Linked DNA regions of Macaca fascicularis. The protein of the gene in region 2 purifies or fractionates together with the protein of the main gene of each other region. This does not show direct contact. Links are inferred from orthologs where the notes say so. Each region holds a gene or a part of one and is shown on either strand. Other genes may lie near its edges.

Region 1 (7,957 bases), on a different chromosome or scaffold from region 2:
GGGTGAAATTCAACAGAACTGTTTTAGGGTAAAGACCTTCAGATGCACATGGAATTTCCCTGTGGGCAAATTGTGAGGGAGGTTATGTAGCTTTTTATCCTTATAGCTGTCTTATTTAGGAATAAAACGGCAGGCAGGTTTGTCTGACATCATTCCCAGCTTGAATTTTCCCTTTGGCTTAGTGATTTGGGGGTCCTGAGATTTTTTTTTTCCTTCCACACTTCCTAACTCATTTTATCTATGATAGAAAAATGCATGAATAGGGGGAATGAAAAAGTTAAAGCCAATATCACTCTGGAACATAAATGCACAAATCCTAAACAAATTAGTAGCAAATTAGGTCTAGAAATATATTAAAAGAATAAAACATCCAGACCGAGCTGGATTTATCACAGGAAGGAAAGGTTTATTTATAATTTGAATCAATCAATATAAGTTAACACAGTCTTAGAATGAAGACCAATCTGTTCACCTCAAAACATGGAAAAAATATATGTGACCAAAAACAATAATTATAGCATATTATAAATTGATGTGAACTTTCTATTTTCCTTTTTTTTCCCTGAGACAGAGTCTCACTGTGTTGCCTTGGCTAGAGTGCAGTGGCATGATCTCGGTTCACTGCAACTTACACCTCCCAGGTTCAAGCAATTCTCCCTGCCTCAGCCTCCCAAGTATCTAGGATTACAGTGACCCACCACCACACCCGGCTAATTTTTGTATTTTTTTTTTTTTTTTCAGTAGAGACAGGGTTTTGCCATGTTGGCCAGGCTGGTCTTGAACTCCTGACCTCAGGTAATCCACCCACTCAGCCTCCCAAAGTGCTGGGATTACAGGCATGAGCCACCATGCCTGGCCCCGGGAATATTTCATCAGAGATAATACTTGACAGGGTAGGATTCTGAAAGAAATGGGAAGGAAATGCCAACATCGAAATTATGCATTGGAGAGCCATGATTAATGCCTCCAGCCCTAAGATGGCAAGGTAATGTTGTTCCCAAGTATAAACCCACATCACTTTCCTTTGGTGTGTTTTACTCCTACTGTTGCCTCCTTTCCCTTTACATTCTCCCACTCCATGCACAAACACACTCACCATGAGGGCTCAGGGTAGGTAGTTGGGCTCCATGCAGTCAAATTGGACTCCACGTTAACAAAACTAACAATTCGAGCTTTCCAGCAATGAACTCATCTGCTCTTCCATGTCTACTCTTCCTGTCTGCTGGTTTCCACTTCCAGGGCTTTCAATGTGTTCTACACAGAAACCAGTTCAAGGACTGGGTTTTCTTCTGCAATAAAATGCTAGAGCTGTGGCAGAGACCTCCACTGTGAGAGCAGCCATGGAATTGGCTAGGAAGTGACATGATGTGGAAGTGGTAGATGTGTCCACAAGATGGCACTCCTAATTTGTAGTTTAATGCTTAATAGGACCTTTTGCAATGGACAAATGGGATTTTATGATTTATGTAGCTGGTGTCATGAATTATGTTTCAAATCCTGCCACATTTTGAACAATTTATTTTTGCCCCTTTCCAATATTGGGTCATAACCTAAGAATGAAAGGACATTATAAGCAGGGGTGTGTGTGTGTGTGTGTGCACTTGATCGTGGAGACTCGTGTGTTCCTCCTACCTTACCTGAACTGTTGAATGAAGTTACAATGACTGGACTCAGGGTCGCAGCTAACTTGGGAAATGGGATTTTGAAGTACTGGAAACAGCTTTGTATGCCATGTTAATGAACTTGAACTTTATCCTGAAAAACGTGGCTGTCGCAGGTGGCTTGATCACAGCACTGCTTCCCAAATTTCACTCAATGGTACCTGTATAATACATTCTTGATTTTTGCTGTATATCCGTATCATCAAGTTACTTAACGTTTTTACACCAACTTTTATTATTTTATTAATGTACTTAAAGAGGAAATTCACTAGTAGCATTGCTTGTCTTAATCAAAATAAATATATTATTAAAATGGAACAGTGCTAAATAAGATGTACACATGGACATAGAGTGTGGAATGACAGACACTGGAGATTCCGAAAGGTGGAGGGGTGGGAGAGAGGTGACGATGAGAAAGTACTTAATGGGCACCATGTACATTATTTGGGTGATGGGTAAACTAAAAGCCCAGACTTCACCATTACTGCAATATATCCACATAACATAACTGTACTTGCGCCCCTTAAATTTATACAAATTTTTAAAAGGAAAAAAATGGAAGTGTTCATCTATGTACCAACTTAAAATCATCTCATGCACCACTAGTGTTAAGTCTACCACACGTGGGGAAACTGTATGGTATGAATTGGGTTGAGGGTGTCCCCAACAGGCACAGAAATTGGGTTGGTGCCAGGTTTTTAATGCCCGGACCTTAAATCGTTAGACAGCCCGAGTCCGTTGTAGGCCTGGAGCAATTCAGACACAAGGCAAAAAGGACATAAATTTGCCTATGCCTTGTAACGTCTACACCACCAGCCTTTCTGAAACTATTGTGCATACGAAATCATCTCAGGATCTTGTAAAAACACCGATTCGGATCCAGTATGGGACCTGGAGTTTATACATTTCTAATCAACTCCCAAATGATATTGATGCTGATACTGTCGGTTTCCCAACGAAGCAACGTAGCAAGGTACGAAACTCTTAAGTCCCTAAAGGGCAGGGACCACGTCTCCCGCGTTAGCACAGTGCCTGGCCCAAGGCACTTTATGGGTTAACACTCGCTGAGGACCGGAGTGAACGCGCCCCCATATCGTCACGTGACTGCCTTTCTCCAACAGCCGGTTTCGGCTCACATAACACACCTACTGTCCAAAACATTTCTATTTTTCTCACACAAAAACTACAGTTAAGTTTTTATATTCTATGTAGCCCCAGCCTAGGACGTAAGATCCACGAGACCAGAGACCTTGTGATGATTCCCCCAGGTTGCTGACCCTCCCGGTGTGTCCCGGGCCTGCTCTGGGGGACACAGCGGCGAATATGCTGAACAAGGCCCCTGTTTCACGGAGCTAAAGATCCAGTAAGGACTTCACCCAGCAAGAGGCAACTACGCTGGGCTTCGATGCCCAGTACCTCTGCAGAAAGGCGGAATGGCAGGAGTCTCCTAAAGTCCCCAATGTCCAAGGACGCGGAAACCCAGGGCCCCCAGTGCAGGTGTCAGTCCGAGGGGCGCCTGCGCAGTCCCAAGAGAGGCGCGTCCCATTGGACAATCCCGAGCGGAAGAGCCCAAGGTAGCGGGGGGAGTTGTGACGGGCCGCTGCAGACGTACTTAGAAAAGGGGTGCATACTGGGTATTCAGGCCAGGAGAAGAACGCAATAAGCAGTGACGTACATTATCTTCTGCATATTTACTTGGGAAATTGTGTGTCTCCCTATTCTGAGTCTTGGAGGAATTGGACTGGTCCAACCTTCTGCAGGGAGCAGTAGAGCGCGGCAGTATAGAGAGTACCCCTCACGAAGGGGACGTGGGAAAGAGGTGGCGGGGAACGCTGGGAAACTCGCGGCCTCCGCCACCATCTTGCTTTCCTTAATCTGGTAGGACCGTGTGTCAGAACAATCTTGAATCATGAAGCTACTAACCAGAGCCGGGTCCTTCTCGGTGAGCTCAAGTGGCGGGTTTGGGGAAGGGCTGGGGAGCAGTGTGTCGGCAAGGTGATACGAGGCGGAGGTGTCTGGTCTGGGGTCTGGGCCTTGGGATTCGGTCTGCCCTTCAGCTGAACCCTGCGGGCCAAGCGGGCTGCAGACTGGGTCAGGCTTTGGAGGCCCAGCTCATTCTGTGAGCAGAAGAGACCTAACACCGGGAAACCTGAAGAGAGGGGCAGGACGTGAGAGCGGAGTTGAAGCGACTCCCTGGAGAGACTTATGAAGGTCATTCCGGCACTCAAGTGCTGGAGAACGAGACCGCGAAACCCAGAGGGAGGGGGAGGACGGCACAGCCTTAGCCCCCAACCTTCACTTTATCCGCTGCAGCCTCTGCTCCTTGGTTTATCACGGAGCATCAGTTTCCCCAGCGAATAAAAGCAAAAGAAAGGAGCTCGTGCAGATATAACACTTATCACAGTGCCTGGAACGTCATTCATTGTTAGTTACTACGGTGTCTTAGTAGTCTAACGTTGCTTTTCTTGATCGTATGTTAGACGGTTCCTCCAAGACGTCTCCGTCCTCAGAAGCTCCTTCCTTAAGTTTCCCCTTCAAACCTAAATTAAACATAGCTGTCACTTGGGGAAAACTCACACATTAGGGTTATATCACGATGGGGCAGTGGTTATTAAGCGGGGTAACGGGGAACACTTTTTAAAAAAATATATAGCGAGGGACAGTATGCCCCCAGGGAACCGGTGGCGATGTCTGGAGACGTATTTAGTTGCAACAACTTGTCAAGAGGGTGATATTGGCATCGAGAGGCCAGGGACGCTGCTAAACTTACCCCTACAACAAAGAATTATCTAGCCCCAAGTGCCAGTAGTAGTACCTGTGTTGAGAAACCCTCCTAAGATGGAGATGCAAAAGACCAGACCTGGGCATGGAATGTTCTTATGCTTTATGTTTACGTGAATGTGCTGTGGGCTGTACCAATTTAAGCTGTAACTGCATTAACCTTCCTGCTATACCTAGACACACCAGTGATTACCCTTTGAGGGAAGCATGGTTAGATTGGTAAAAGACCCCAAAATGTCCTTCTCCATTCTATTTTACAATAGAAAAAGCTCAGAGAAAACAGTTGGAGAGGCCCAAAGTAAACAAATTGCAGTAAACTTGAAAGCAGTTATTTATGTTTCTAATTTTAGCATTTTATATAGGAGAATAAGCTTGATATATCTTGTTATTAGAACAAAATAAATTAGTAATTGCATGACAGTTACTAGGATAATTTGCTGATTTGAATGGGACGATTAAGAAGCACGTTTACCGGTCTGGCGCGATGGCTCACACCTGTAATCTTAGCCCTTTGGGAGGCGGAGGCAGGCGAATCAGTTGAGATCAGGAGTTCGAAACCAGTCTGGCCAACTTGTTGAAACCCCATCTATACTAAAAATACAAAAAAAAAAAAAAAAAAAAAAAATTAGCCGGGCGTGGTGGCGGAAGCCTCTAATCCCAGCTACTCGGGAGGCTGAGGCAGGAGAATCTCTTGAACCCGGGAGGCAGAGGTTGCGGTGAGCAGAAATCGTGCCACTTGCGCTCTAGGCGACAGAGCGAGACTCCATCTCAAAAAAAAAAAAAATATATATATATATCTCCCCAACAAAGTGTCACTATTTGGGCACATTTGGTTGGAAAACACCTAAAGTCTCACTTGGTAGCGGAACTATAGATTATTCATGTTTGAATTGCTATGCCCGTATACCTTAAAGTTTACTTTTTGGAAAATCATAGGTGAAAATTACAAAGAAGGTTAACTATACCATACCCAGCGAACTAAATTGATGATGATAAAGCAAAGCTAATTGTAATTCATAACTGAAAAGCAGTACTAAAAGCAAATGATAACCAGCAGCCAACCTAGTACAGCACTAGTGCTGGATGTACAACAAAGAGCCTTCTGGACAGCACAGAGTGGAGTCCTTGCAGCCTGTGCGGGGATGTCTGGGAAACTCCAGCGACGTGTTCATTGGGTCTTGGGAGCACCAGGTTTTATTCACTCATCATCTCCTCGGATAACCTCATGAACTTTAGTCATAATCAGAATGATTTTTATGGCATCGTATAACATTTGCCCAAACAAACTGAATAAAATGAGTGCATTTTGGGTCCATTATCTAATATTTAATGGGACCCTTTTACCCTACCAGTAACTGCATTTTATATATTGAGAATCCGCCGTGGATGAAGCCATTGTTAACCTAAGGATGACGTACATGTCATAAATGTTTTATTTAGTCAAAAAAGGTAAGACGTTTGGTTGTGTGGTCTTAATGCAGCACATGAGAGTGAAGATACAATGAAAAATATTGAGGACTTGGAGGAAGTTGCTATATACTTTGTCTTTTGTTTTCTTTTCTTTTGTTTTCTTTTCTTTCGAGTTTTGCTCTTGTTGCCCAGGCTGGACTGCAATGGTGCAATCTTGGCTCACTGCAACCTCCGCCTCCCGGGTTTAAGTGATTCTTCTGCCTCAGCCTCCCCAGTAGTTGGGATTACAGGCGTGCGTCACCATGCCCTGCTAATTTTGTATTTTTAGTAGAGACCGGGTTGCTCCATGTTGGTCAGACTAGTCTCGAACCCCCGACCTCAGGTGACCCGCCCACCTCGGCCTCCCAAAGTGCTGGGATTACAGGTGTGAGCCACCGCGCCCAGCTGCTTTGTCTTTTTAAAGGTTACTAAGACTATTAAGGAGATGAAACCATTTCAGTTGGAAAATAGACTGAAGGGGTGAGATTCATTGGGCAGATAAAAGAAGCAAGAAGCTGAAACCTATAAAAGGTTGTGGAGGCAGGCTGGGTGTGGTGACTCCCACCTGGAATCCTAGCACTTTGGAAGGCCGAGGTGGGTGGATTGCCTGAGCTCAGGAGTTGGAGACCAGCCTGAGCTACATGGTGAAATGCCGTCTCTACTAAAATACAAAAAATTAGCCAGGTGTGGCAGCATGTGCCTGTAATCCCAGCTACTTGGGAGCTACGACAGGAGAATTGCTTGAATCCGGGTGGCGGACATTGCAATGACCCGAGATTGCGCCCTTGCACTCCAGCCTGGCACACAGAGCATGACTTGGTCTCAAAAAAAAAAAAAAAAAAAAAAAAGGTTGTGGATGGGGCGATCTGACACTTTTCCAAAAAATGCCAAAGCTTTAGAGCTACAAAGAATGATGAAACTTTTATAAGGTAACTGAAAGTTAAGAAAATACAGCGATTCTTTACATCATAAACAAATAAGCATCAGGAACTCTATAAATCACTAATAAATAGAGGTTTAAGAATAGCTCGGGTAAACTGGTGGGTTAATAAGTTATGCAGCTAGGCGGGGTGCAGTGGCTCATGCCTGTAATCCCAACACTTTGGGAGGCCAAGGCAGGCGGATCACTTAAGATCAGGAGTTCGAGACCAGCTTGGCCAACACAGTGAAACCCCATCTCTACTAAAAAATACAAAAACAAAAACTAGCTGGACATGATGGCACACACCTGTAGTTCCAGCTACTTGGGAGGCTAAGGCAGGAGAATGGCTTGAACCCAGGAGTTGGAGGTTGCAATGAGCCGAGATTGCACCACTGCACTCCAGCCTTAGTGACAGAGGGACATTCTGTCTCAAAAAAAAAAAAAAAATGTTATGCAGCTAAATCCTCCCATGGAGGTGGTTATTGCTCCTTTTACCCCTGAACACCCTCTGTTGCTTGGGTACCCTAAGGTACCATGCTTTTATATAAAGCACTGTTCTTGTAAGAAATGTGTGTGACCTGTGTTTTTTGTGTTTAGAGATTTTATTCCCTCAAAGTTGCCCCCAAAGTTAAAGCCACAGCTGCGCCTGCAGGAGCACCGCCACAGCCTCAGGACCTTGAGGTTAGTCCCACTAACTTGCTCGCTAGAACCCATACATGCCTTACTCTCTTTGGTAATATGAGGACATTCATTATATCTCTACTTTATTTTAAATACAGTTTACCAAGTTACCAAATGGCTTGGTGATTGCTTCTTTGGAAAACTATGCTCCTCTATCAAGAATTGGTTTGTTCATTAAAGCAGGCAGTAGATATGAGGACTCCAACAATTTAGGAACCACCCATTTGCTGAGACTTGCATCCAGTCTGGTAAGTATCTTCATTACCTCAAGTGTTTGGAAATGCTGTGGTATCTTGGTCCTGTGTAAAAGAAAAACTAAAATCAAAGGCTTTATATTTGCTTCCTTGACCTGCCGTAACAAATTACCACAGACTGGGTAGCTTAAACCAAATAAATTTATCCTGTCACAGTTCTAGAGGCTGGAAGTCAAAGTCAAGGTATCTAAGCCAAGCCAAGATATCAG
Region 2 (7,804 bases):
TTGCTATAAAAGTCACGAGTAATAATAATACACACTATCTTCCTGCAAATAAACAACCTGCAGCACCACTGAAATTCTTTATTCACGTTATTGGTCCCACCTCAGAGGTAATTCTTGAGGGCTAAACATTTGGCATCTTCCCCATCACTGCCTTCCCAGAGAGTCAGGGCAGGGTAAAATAATCCTCTACTTTAGGTTTTAGGGGCAGACTACGTCCTCAAGGCTGCCTTGATCATTAAAATTATCATTACAATAATGGATAGCACTGGCCAGGTGCGGTGGCTCACGCCTGTAATCCCAGCACTTTGAGAGGCTGAGGTGGGCAGATGGCGTGAGCCCAGGAATTTGAGACCAGTCTGGGCAACATGGAGAAACCCCATCTTTACAACAGATACAAAAATTTGCTGGACATGGTGGTGCACGCCTGTAGTCCCAGCTACTCGGAGGACTGAGAGGTGTGAGGATTACTTGAGCCTGGAGGTGGAGACTGCAGTGAGCCGTGATCGCACCACTGCACTGCATCCTGGGTGACAGAGTGAGACCCTGACACACACACACACATAGCATCAATTGAGCCTTTACAATACAGCAGGCTTCATACAGCATTTATTTATTTAGAGATAGGGTCTCACTCTGTCACCCAGGCTGGAGAGCAGTGGCGTGATCTTGGCTCACTGCAACCTCTGCCTCCTAGGCTCAAGTGATCCTCCCACCTCAGCCTCTTGAGCAGCCAGGACCACGGGCATGTACCACCATGCCCCGTTAATTTTTCTATTTTTTTGTAGAGATGAGGTTTCACCATGCTGTCCAGGCTGTTCTCGAACTCCTGGACTCGAGCACTACTCCTGTCTCCCAAAGTGCTGGGATTACAGGCGTGAGCCTACACATACATTATTTAATGCCTGCCACAAATCTATTAGTTAAGTGCTATTATTATTGCCATTTTAAGATGAGAAAGCTGAGTCAGTCAAACCAAGTAACTTGCCCCAAGTTACAAAAATGAAACTAGGATCTGAATCCAGGGCCCATGCTCTTAAACCACCACAATCCACAGACCACATTTCCTGCCATTCCCAGGGATCCCCTGAGTTCCCTGCAAGTCCCTCCCTGAGACTGTTGTCCCAGTTCCAAGGCTCCTACCTCAACGTAGCCAGATAGAGGAAAGTCTTTCCGGAAAGGATGTCCCTCGAAGCCATAATCCGTCAGGATCCTTCTTAGATCAGGGTGGTTAGCAAAGAAGACTCCAAACATGTCCCAGATCTAGGAAAGAGACTCCCTCAAACAGCCAATCCATCAAGACCAACAACAGGGGAAGGGGCTATATGGCATCCCATAGTCTCAACCAGTTCTGTAACTCTGGCCCAGAGGCAGGTCCACCATATCCGGTAACTCACCTCCCTTTCATACCAGTTGGCTGCCTTGAACACAGACATAGCGGACTCAATGGGCGTCAGCTCATCTGTGTAGGTCTTCACACGGATCCGTGAGTTGAAGCGCAGAGACAGCAAGTTGTAGACAATCTAGGGAGAACAGAAGCATCTGGAGGGATGAGATGGGAGTCCCTGGTTGGGAGAGTTCTGCCCTGTGACCCTGCTTTCTATTCTGAACCTCAAATCCTCAAGATTCTCCTATGCTTACAACTACTTCCAAAGGCCCAGGCCACAGCTCTAGCTTAGCATGTCAGCATGCCTGTGTTTGTTCATACTATTCCCTTTGTCAGGAATATTTCCCTGGTCCACCTCACAAGGCTAATTCCTGGTCTCCTGCTCATGTGTTAAGATTCAGCACAAACATTTTCTGTCTTCAAAGAAGCCTCCCAGACAGGGCCAAGTGCCCCTCCTGCTTTCTTAAAGCATCCCCCTAATATCCTTTGTATTATATGTTACTACAGTAAGCTGTTTAGGTGTCTTTCTCCTTCGCTAGAGTGTGGGGGACTCTTGGAGGACAAATACTTCATGTTATTTCTCTCTCCATCCCAGAGTCTAGCAAACAGTAGATAATCAGTAAAATATTAATAGCTAAATGTATTGAAAACTTATTGTGTGCTAACAATTTACTTGAACTATCTCATTGGATCCTCACAACCATTCTATAAGATAGGGGCAGCTTTATATTTATTTTCCAGATAAGAAAATGAAAGCTCAGAAAGATTAAACAAGGGCCAGGCACCGTGGTTCACGCCTGTAATCCCAGCACTTTGGGAACCCAAGGCAGGCAGATCACGAGGTCAGGAAATCGAGACCATCCTGGCCAACATGGTGAAACCCCGTCTCTATTAAAAAAAATACATAAAATTAGCCAGGTGTGGTGGCATGCACCTGTAGTCCCTGCTACTCAGGGGGCTGAGGCAGGGGAATAGCTTGAACCCAGGAAGCGGAGGTTGCAGTGAGCCAAGATCACGCCACTGCACTCCAGCCTGGCGACAGAGCAAGATTCGGTCAAAAAAAAAAGAAAGTTTAAACAAAATATTTGAGTTATCTGAGGTCCCATGGCCGTTTAGTGGCAGAACCAAGATCCAAACTTGAGATCTACTTGACTCTGAAGTCCCAGTTTAACTGCTATGCTCCATTGTTTGTTACAAACTGAAATTAATACCCTTACCCCCAAACCTTCTCAAATCTCCCGACTGACCTCAAAACGGTTCTGCCGAGTTGGGACATCCACTGCTGTCAAGTCAACCAGGGATTTGAACTGTGCATTGGTGTGATCCCTGAGGAAAGTCAGCACTGGGATGATGCCATCAGGATGGATACAGACCTCTAACTCATTGAAGCAGGACACCTGCACACATGGAAGGGAGGGGAGAGGGAACAAAGAGCTACTGAGGGAACAGCTAACTTCAGCTGGAGTCACCTGGCTTAATGCTGAGGGAAAAGTCCAAGGTTGGGATGGAGGAGTCTGTAGTTTCTTTGAAACCAGTCTGCCCACTCCCACATGCTCTGAGAACATGGTTCTTTCTTGGCCCAGACCCAAATAACAGTGGTACGTATTACCTGAACTTGTTGGACATACTTGGGCAAGATTTCAGCCACATACTCTCCAAAAGCTGAGAGCTGCTTGTGGGCCACATCATTCCGTGGTCTGACAGTGGCTGGAAGGAAAAAGCATATTTAACAAAGAAATGGAGAAGGCAAAAGCCAGCCCTGTATCCAGTCTCTTGGGCTTGTAAGGGATGTCAAATCCAGTAAAGGCTCCCTGCAGCACCCTGAGAAAGGGGCATGTGAAAGGTTTCCCTTCCAGGGAATAGAGTGATGAAAACTTGGGGAAAGTGCCACCTTAAGTACACAGTCCTCAGAAAGACTCAATACAGCAGCTGGGGTGTTCACCTCTTCTCAAAATTACTCTACAGTTCTTCCCTCACATTACCTGCATTTCTGCTAAAGCAGTAGTCTCAGTTCTCCTGTCAGACTAAGAGCTGTTTGAGGATGGGAACCAGAACTTTTGCTTCTCTGTAACTTCTTAGCATGTAAGTTTATACCAGGTTCTCAAGATAAGAACTTCAGGGCTTGAGGAGCCCTCACAGACTGTCTCCTTGAAACCTACTTTTTTTTTTTTTTTTTGTATCAATGAGAAAACTGAGGCCAAGAAAAGGGGAAATGCTAGGTCTCCTAACTCCCAGTGCGTGCATCTTGACTGTAACATATGTACATACTCATTCATGCAACCCTAAACCACTGAGCACTCACACATCACAAGCTACGGAATGATGGTTAGGTTTTCCTGCCTCTGGCAGCAGGCAGGCCTACTTTGTCATTCACTAGGTCTCTGACCCTGGGCAGTTTAATTCTTTGGATTGTTTCCTGATCTATAGTAAGAAGAGTAAGATACTACCTACCCCATAAGGCTGTTGTGAGGACGAAATAAGATCATTCACTAAAACGCTTAGCGAGGTGCCAGGCACACATTAAGCACTCAACGTGAGGTACTATTATTACAGGGCTCTAAGGACTAAAGGGCACATTGCTTGCTTTCGAAGAGCTGAGAGTTTAATCAGACAAAAAGGGGACCATTGAAACGGACAAGGGACAATCAGGGCCATAACAGAGAGGCCTAAGGGTACAGGGAGGGCTCGATTCTGCACGCAGGGTGAAGACCACCGCAGTCAGGTCTCCAAGATTTGCCAGGAAGACGCAGGGAAGGGCATCCTAGGGCAAGGACAGGCACCTAGGGGGCCCCGCCGACAGTTCAGGGAAGAGCGCTGCCAGCACATACTCACGGCGCGTGTCGGCCCCGGCGCTCTCCCGCCTCACCGGCAGCAACAGAACTGAGGGTCGCCCAGCCCCTGCACAGGGAGATAAAAGGCACAGACGCGCGGGGTGAGGCCTGAAGAGCTCTCTGCACTGGGCACGCCGCTGCGCCTGACCCCGGTCTCAGCTAGCTGCCCCTCTCACCCCTCGTCAGCGCCGCGGCCCCCACGATTCCACGCCACCACAGCCTAGCTGTCGCTGCCGCCGCCATGTTACCCAGACACAGACTAGGCAGCGGACGGAAAGACAGCAGGAGACGGAGCCCCAAGGGCACGGACCGGAAGCGGAAGTGTGCAGCAGATCTTCTTCCGGGCGGACGTGGAGCCTGAAGCAGAGGTTCCGGGCTCCGGGATGAAAGGAGGGAACGCAGGTGAGAAAGCGAGACAGGCAGGTAGGGAAACCGTAAGGTGAGCGTGGTCCTAGCTCCGTGTGGCAAAGCCTGGAGAGAAGGCGAGGACGCTGAAGAACCAGACGGGTGAGAGGAGGGGAGGGGGCGGGCGTTCTGGGTTCTGCACTACACACCCCTCCCCCGCTCTCAGCCAAGCTTTTGACGAGGGCGGGCGAGCCTGAGTGGGAAGAACGGTTTCCCTGGCGACGGTTTCCCAGGCGACTTCAGGTGGAGCGGGGATATTGCACAGGGCGATGGGCCTCCCAGTGCCCCGGCCTGAGGGCGGCTGGACTTGAGTTCTGGGACGCAGCCTTAGGGAGTCTTTCGAGCGAGCGGGGAAAGTAGCTCAGAAGAGAGCAAATGTGAGACTGACGTATATCCCAGGCTAGGCCTCATATGGAGCGTCTTAACTCCATGCGCGGGGAAGGAGAGGACCTGGCCACTAGGCCAGGGCGGGGGGTCCTTTTTGTCTGACTCTGCTGCCCCGAACTTCACTAGTTTTATGCCCCAGTTATTTGGTTAGTAAGGCTTTTACGGTCACAGGCCTCCCCCAGCCCTTTGCTTTCATATATTGACCTAAATCCCAAGTCTTTTGTTAATATCATGGAACGGAATTATTCCGTGTTTTCTCAGGAAAACACCCAGAGTTGGAACTTTGATTTATTTCATTAGCGGAGTGGTGCCACTGGGGAGAACGAACCCAGGTTTGGTTAAAGGATAGCGTCAGGGACATCATGGACAGGACCAGGACTAAGGCCAATCTGGACCCACTTTGCTGTCACTTCTTCCATTTCCCTCCCTGAGTTGGACAGTTGGATTCACAGATTATGGCTGTGAATTCCGCAAGTTACTCAAGGTGGTGTTGCTTTGCAGACAGCTGGCAGAGAGAGAAGTTGGCTAGCATGGAATCACCAGAGGAGCCTGGAGCATCCATGGATGAGAACTACTTTGTGAACTATACTTTCAAAGATCGGTCACACTCAGGCCGTGTGGCTCAAGGCATCATGAAACTGTGTCTAGAGGAGGAGCTCTTTGCTGATGTCACCATTTCGGTGGAAGGCCGGGAGTTTCAGCTCCATCGGCTGGTCCTCTCAGCTCAGAGCTGCTTCTTCCGATCCATGTTCACTTCTAACCTGAAGGAGGCCCACAACCGGGTGATTGTGCTGCAGGATGTCAGTGAGTCTGTTTTCCAGCTCCTGGTTGATTATATCTACCATGGGACTGTGAAACTTCGAGCTGAGGAGTTGCAGGAAATTTATGAGGTGTCAGACATGTATCAGTTGACATCTCTCTTTGAGGAATGCTCTCGGTTTTTGGCCCGCACAGTGCAAGTGGGAAACTGCCTTCAGGTGATGTGGCTGGCAGATCGGCACAGTGATCCTGAGCTCTATACTGCTGCCAAACACTGTGCCAAGACCCACCTGGCCCAGCTGCAGAATACAGAGGAATTTCTCCACTTGCCTCACCACCTACTCACAGATATCATCTCGGGTAAGTTTAGGGAGGGGACACAGCATACGAAGTTACTTGGCTGTGATGTTCAGTGAATGTTCTAGTTTAGGAGAAAGGAACCCTCATGCTTCCTGGTGTTAATTTACATTATTATTCCTGCATTCTTACTGAGATAACCTGCTAAGAAAGATTGAGTTGAGATTCAGTGTAATTGCTGTCAGAGACACAGTGTGTTAGAGGAAGAAGCCAGGAAAATTAAAGCACAACACTTAACCACACAAAAGTACTGAGGAGTGATTTGTATTATACTCTAATTTCTCCTGTACTTTGGATGTCCCGGTGGGTCTAATTACCTATGTAAATTGGTGATGAGGTAAGATATCTAAGACTAAAAACTTTTTTAGTGATGGGCCAACGTCAGGAAACAATCCTAACCCTGCAAGTGAGATATAACCATACTTAAGGTGTGAGGTTGGCTAGGCACGGTGGCTCACGCCTGTAATCCCAACACTTTGGGAGGCCGAGGTGGGCGGATCACCTGAGGTCAGGAGTTCGAGACCACCCTGGCCAACATAGTGAAATCCCGTCTCCACAAAAAAATACAAAAATTAGCTGGATGTGGTGGTGGGCACCTGTAGTCTCAGCTAATTGGGAAGGCTGAGGCAGGAGAATCACTTGAACCCGGAGGCAGAGGTTGCAGTAAGCCAAGATCATGCCACTGCACTTCAGCTTGGGCAACAGAGCAAGACTCCATCTCAAAAAAAAAAAAATAGTGTGAGCTCTATAGCTTAGTAGGTTGCTTCCGTGGCAGATGGGAGCATATCGAGCCATCCATTTTGATTTAAAAAAGCAAGGCACATATTCTGGTTTTTCTTCAGATTGTCTAAATATTTTGCCTTTTACTAAAGATTTCCATGGAGAGGAACAGTTGTGAGTCTTTACCCAACTTTTTGAGGCCTCATGTAACACGAGACTACTTTAAAAAAAAAAGCAAGGCATGCCAGGCATGATGGCTCATGCCTGTAATCCCAGCATTTTGGGAGGCCAAGGAGGGAGGATCGCTTGATGCCAGGAATTTGAGACCAGCGTGGACAACATAGCGAGACCTTGTCTATACAGAAAATAAGAAAATTAGCCAGGCGTGGTGGTGCACACCTGTAGTCCCAGCTACTTGGGAGGCTGTAGCAGGATTGCTGGAGCCCAGGAGGTTGAGGCTACGGTGATGGTGATTGTGCCATTGCATTCCTGCCTGAGCGACAGGGTGAGACCCTGCCCCCCACCCAAAAAAAAGGCAATTTCAGGTTAATTTCATGTATATGTGTATGTATGCATGGACATATATACACATGCCCAGCAGTAGTCTAATAAAGCAGTTCACATCTTTTAAAGTCCCTTACTCTGAATTTCTCTTTCGGATCGTCATTGACCATGCCTTTCCTCTGGCTCTCACAGATGGAGTTCCATGTTCTCAGAACCCAACAGAGGCAATAGAAGCCTGGATTAACTTTAATAAAGAGGAAAGAGAGGCTTTTGCAGAGTCACTCAGGACAAGCTTGAAGGTAAGGCAAATCTCTTAATTGTTGAGACTGCACACTCTCCATGCATTCTCACCATCAGGTAACCTGGCCTCTTTTTTTTTTTTTTAAGACGATTTTTGCTTTGTCACCCAGGCTGGAGTGCAGTGGCGCAATCTCAGCTCACTGCAACCTCCACTTCC

Evidence for each region. The genes of interacting proteins can lie anywhere in the genome.
Region 1: the proteins of NDUFS3 (region 2) and UQCRC2 fractionate together in Homo sapiens (co-fractionation; 3 studies listed by BioGRID and IntAct, with this or other methods). This does not show direct contact. The link is inferred for Macaca fascicularis from reciprocal best matches to the Homo sapiens genes NDUFS3 and UQCRC2.

What each region holds. Positions count from the first base shown.
Region 1 is NC_088394.1:20,931,241-20,939,197, forward strand, and holds the start of UQCRC2 (cytochrome b-c1 complex subunit 2, mitochondrial), read left to right. Parts: upstream 1-3,495; 5' UTR 3,496-3,570; coding exon 3,571-3,603; intron 3,604-7,410; coding exon 7,411-7,494; intron 7,495-7,592; coding exon 7,593-7,742; intron 7,743-7,957. UniProt on the Homo sapiens protein: Component of the ubiquinol-cytochrome c oxidoreductase, a multisubunit transmembrane complex that is part of the mitochondrial electron transport chain which drives oxidative phosphorylation.
Region 2 is NC_088388.1:18,257,112-18,264,915, forward strand, and holds the start of NDUFS3 (NADH dehydrogenase [ubiquinone] iron-sulfur protein 3, mitochondrial), read right to left. Parts: upstream 4,477-7,804; 5' UTR 4,459-4,476; coding exon 4,392-4,458; intron 4,283-4,391; coding exon 4,217-4,282; intron 3,092-4,216; coding exon 2,994-3,091; intron 2,782-2,993; coding exon 2,632-2,781; intron 1,521-2,631; coding exon 1,395-1,520; intron 1,261-1,394; coding exon 1,141-1,260; intron 1-1,140. Other genes in the region: KBTBD4 (kelch repeat and BTB domain-containing protein 4), read left to right, coding at 5,463-6,126, 7,540-7,646.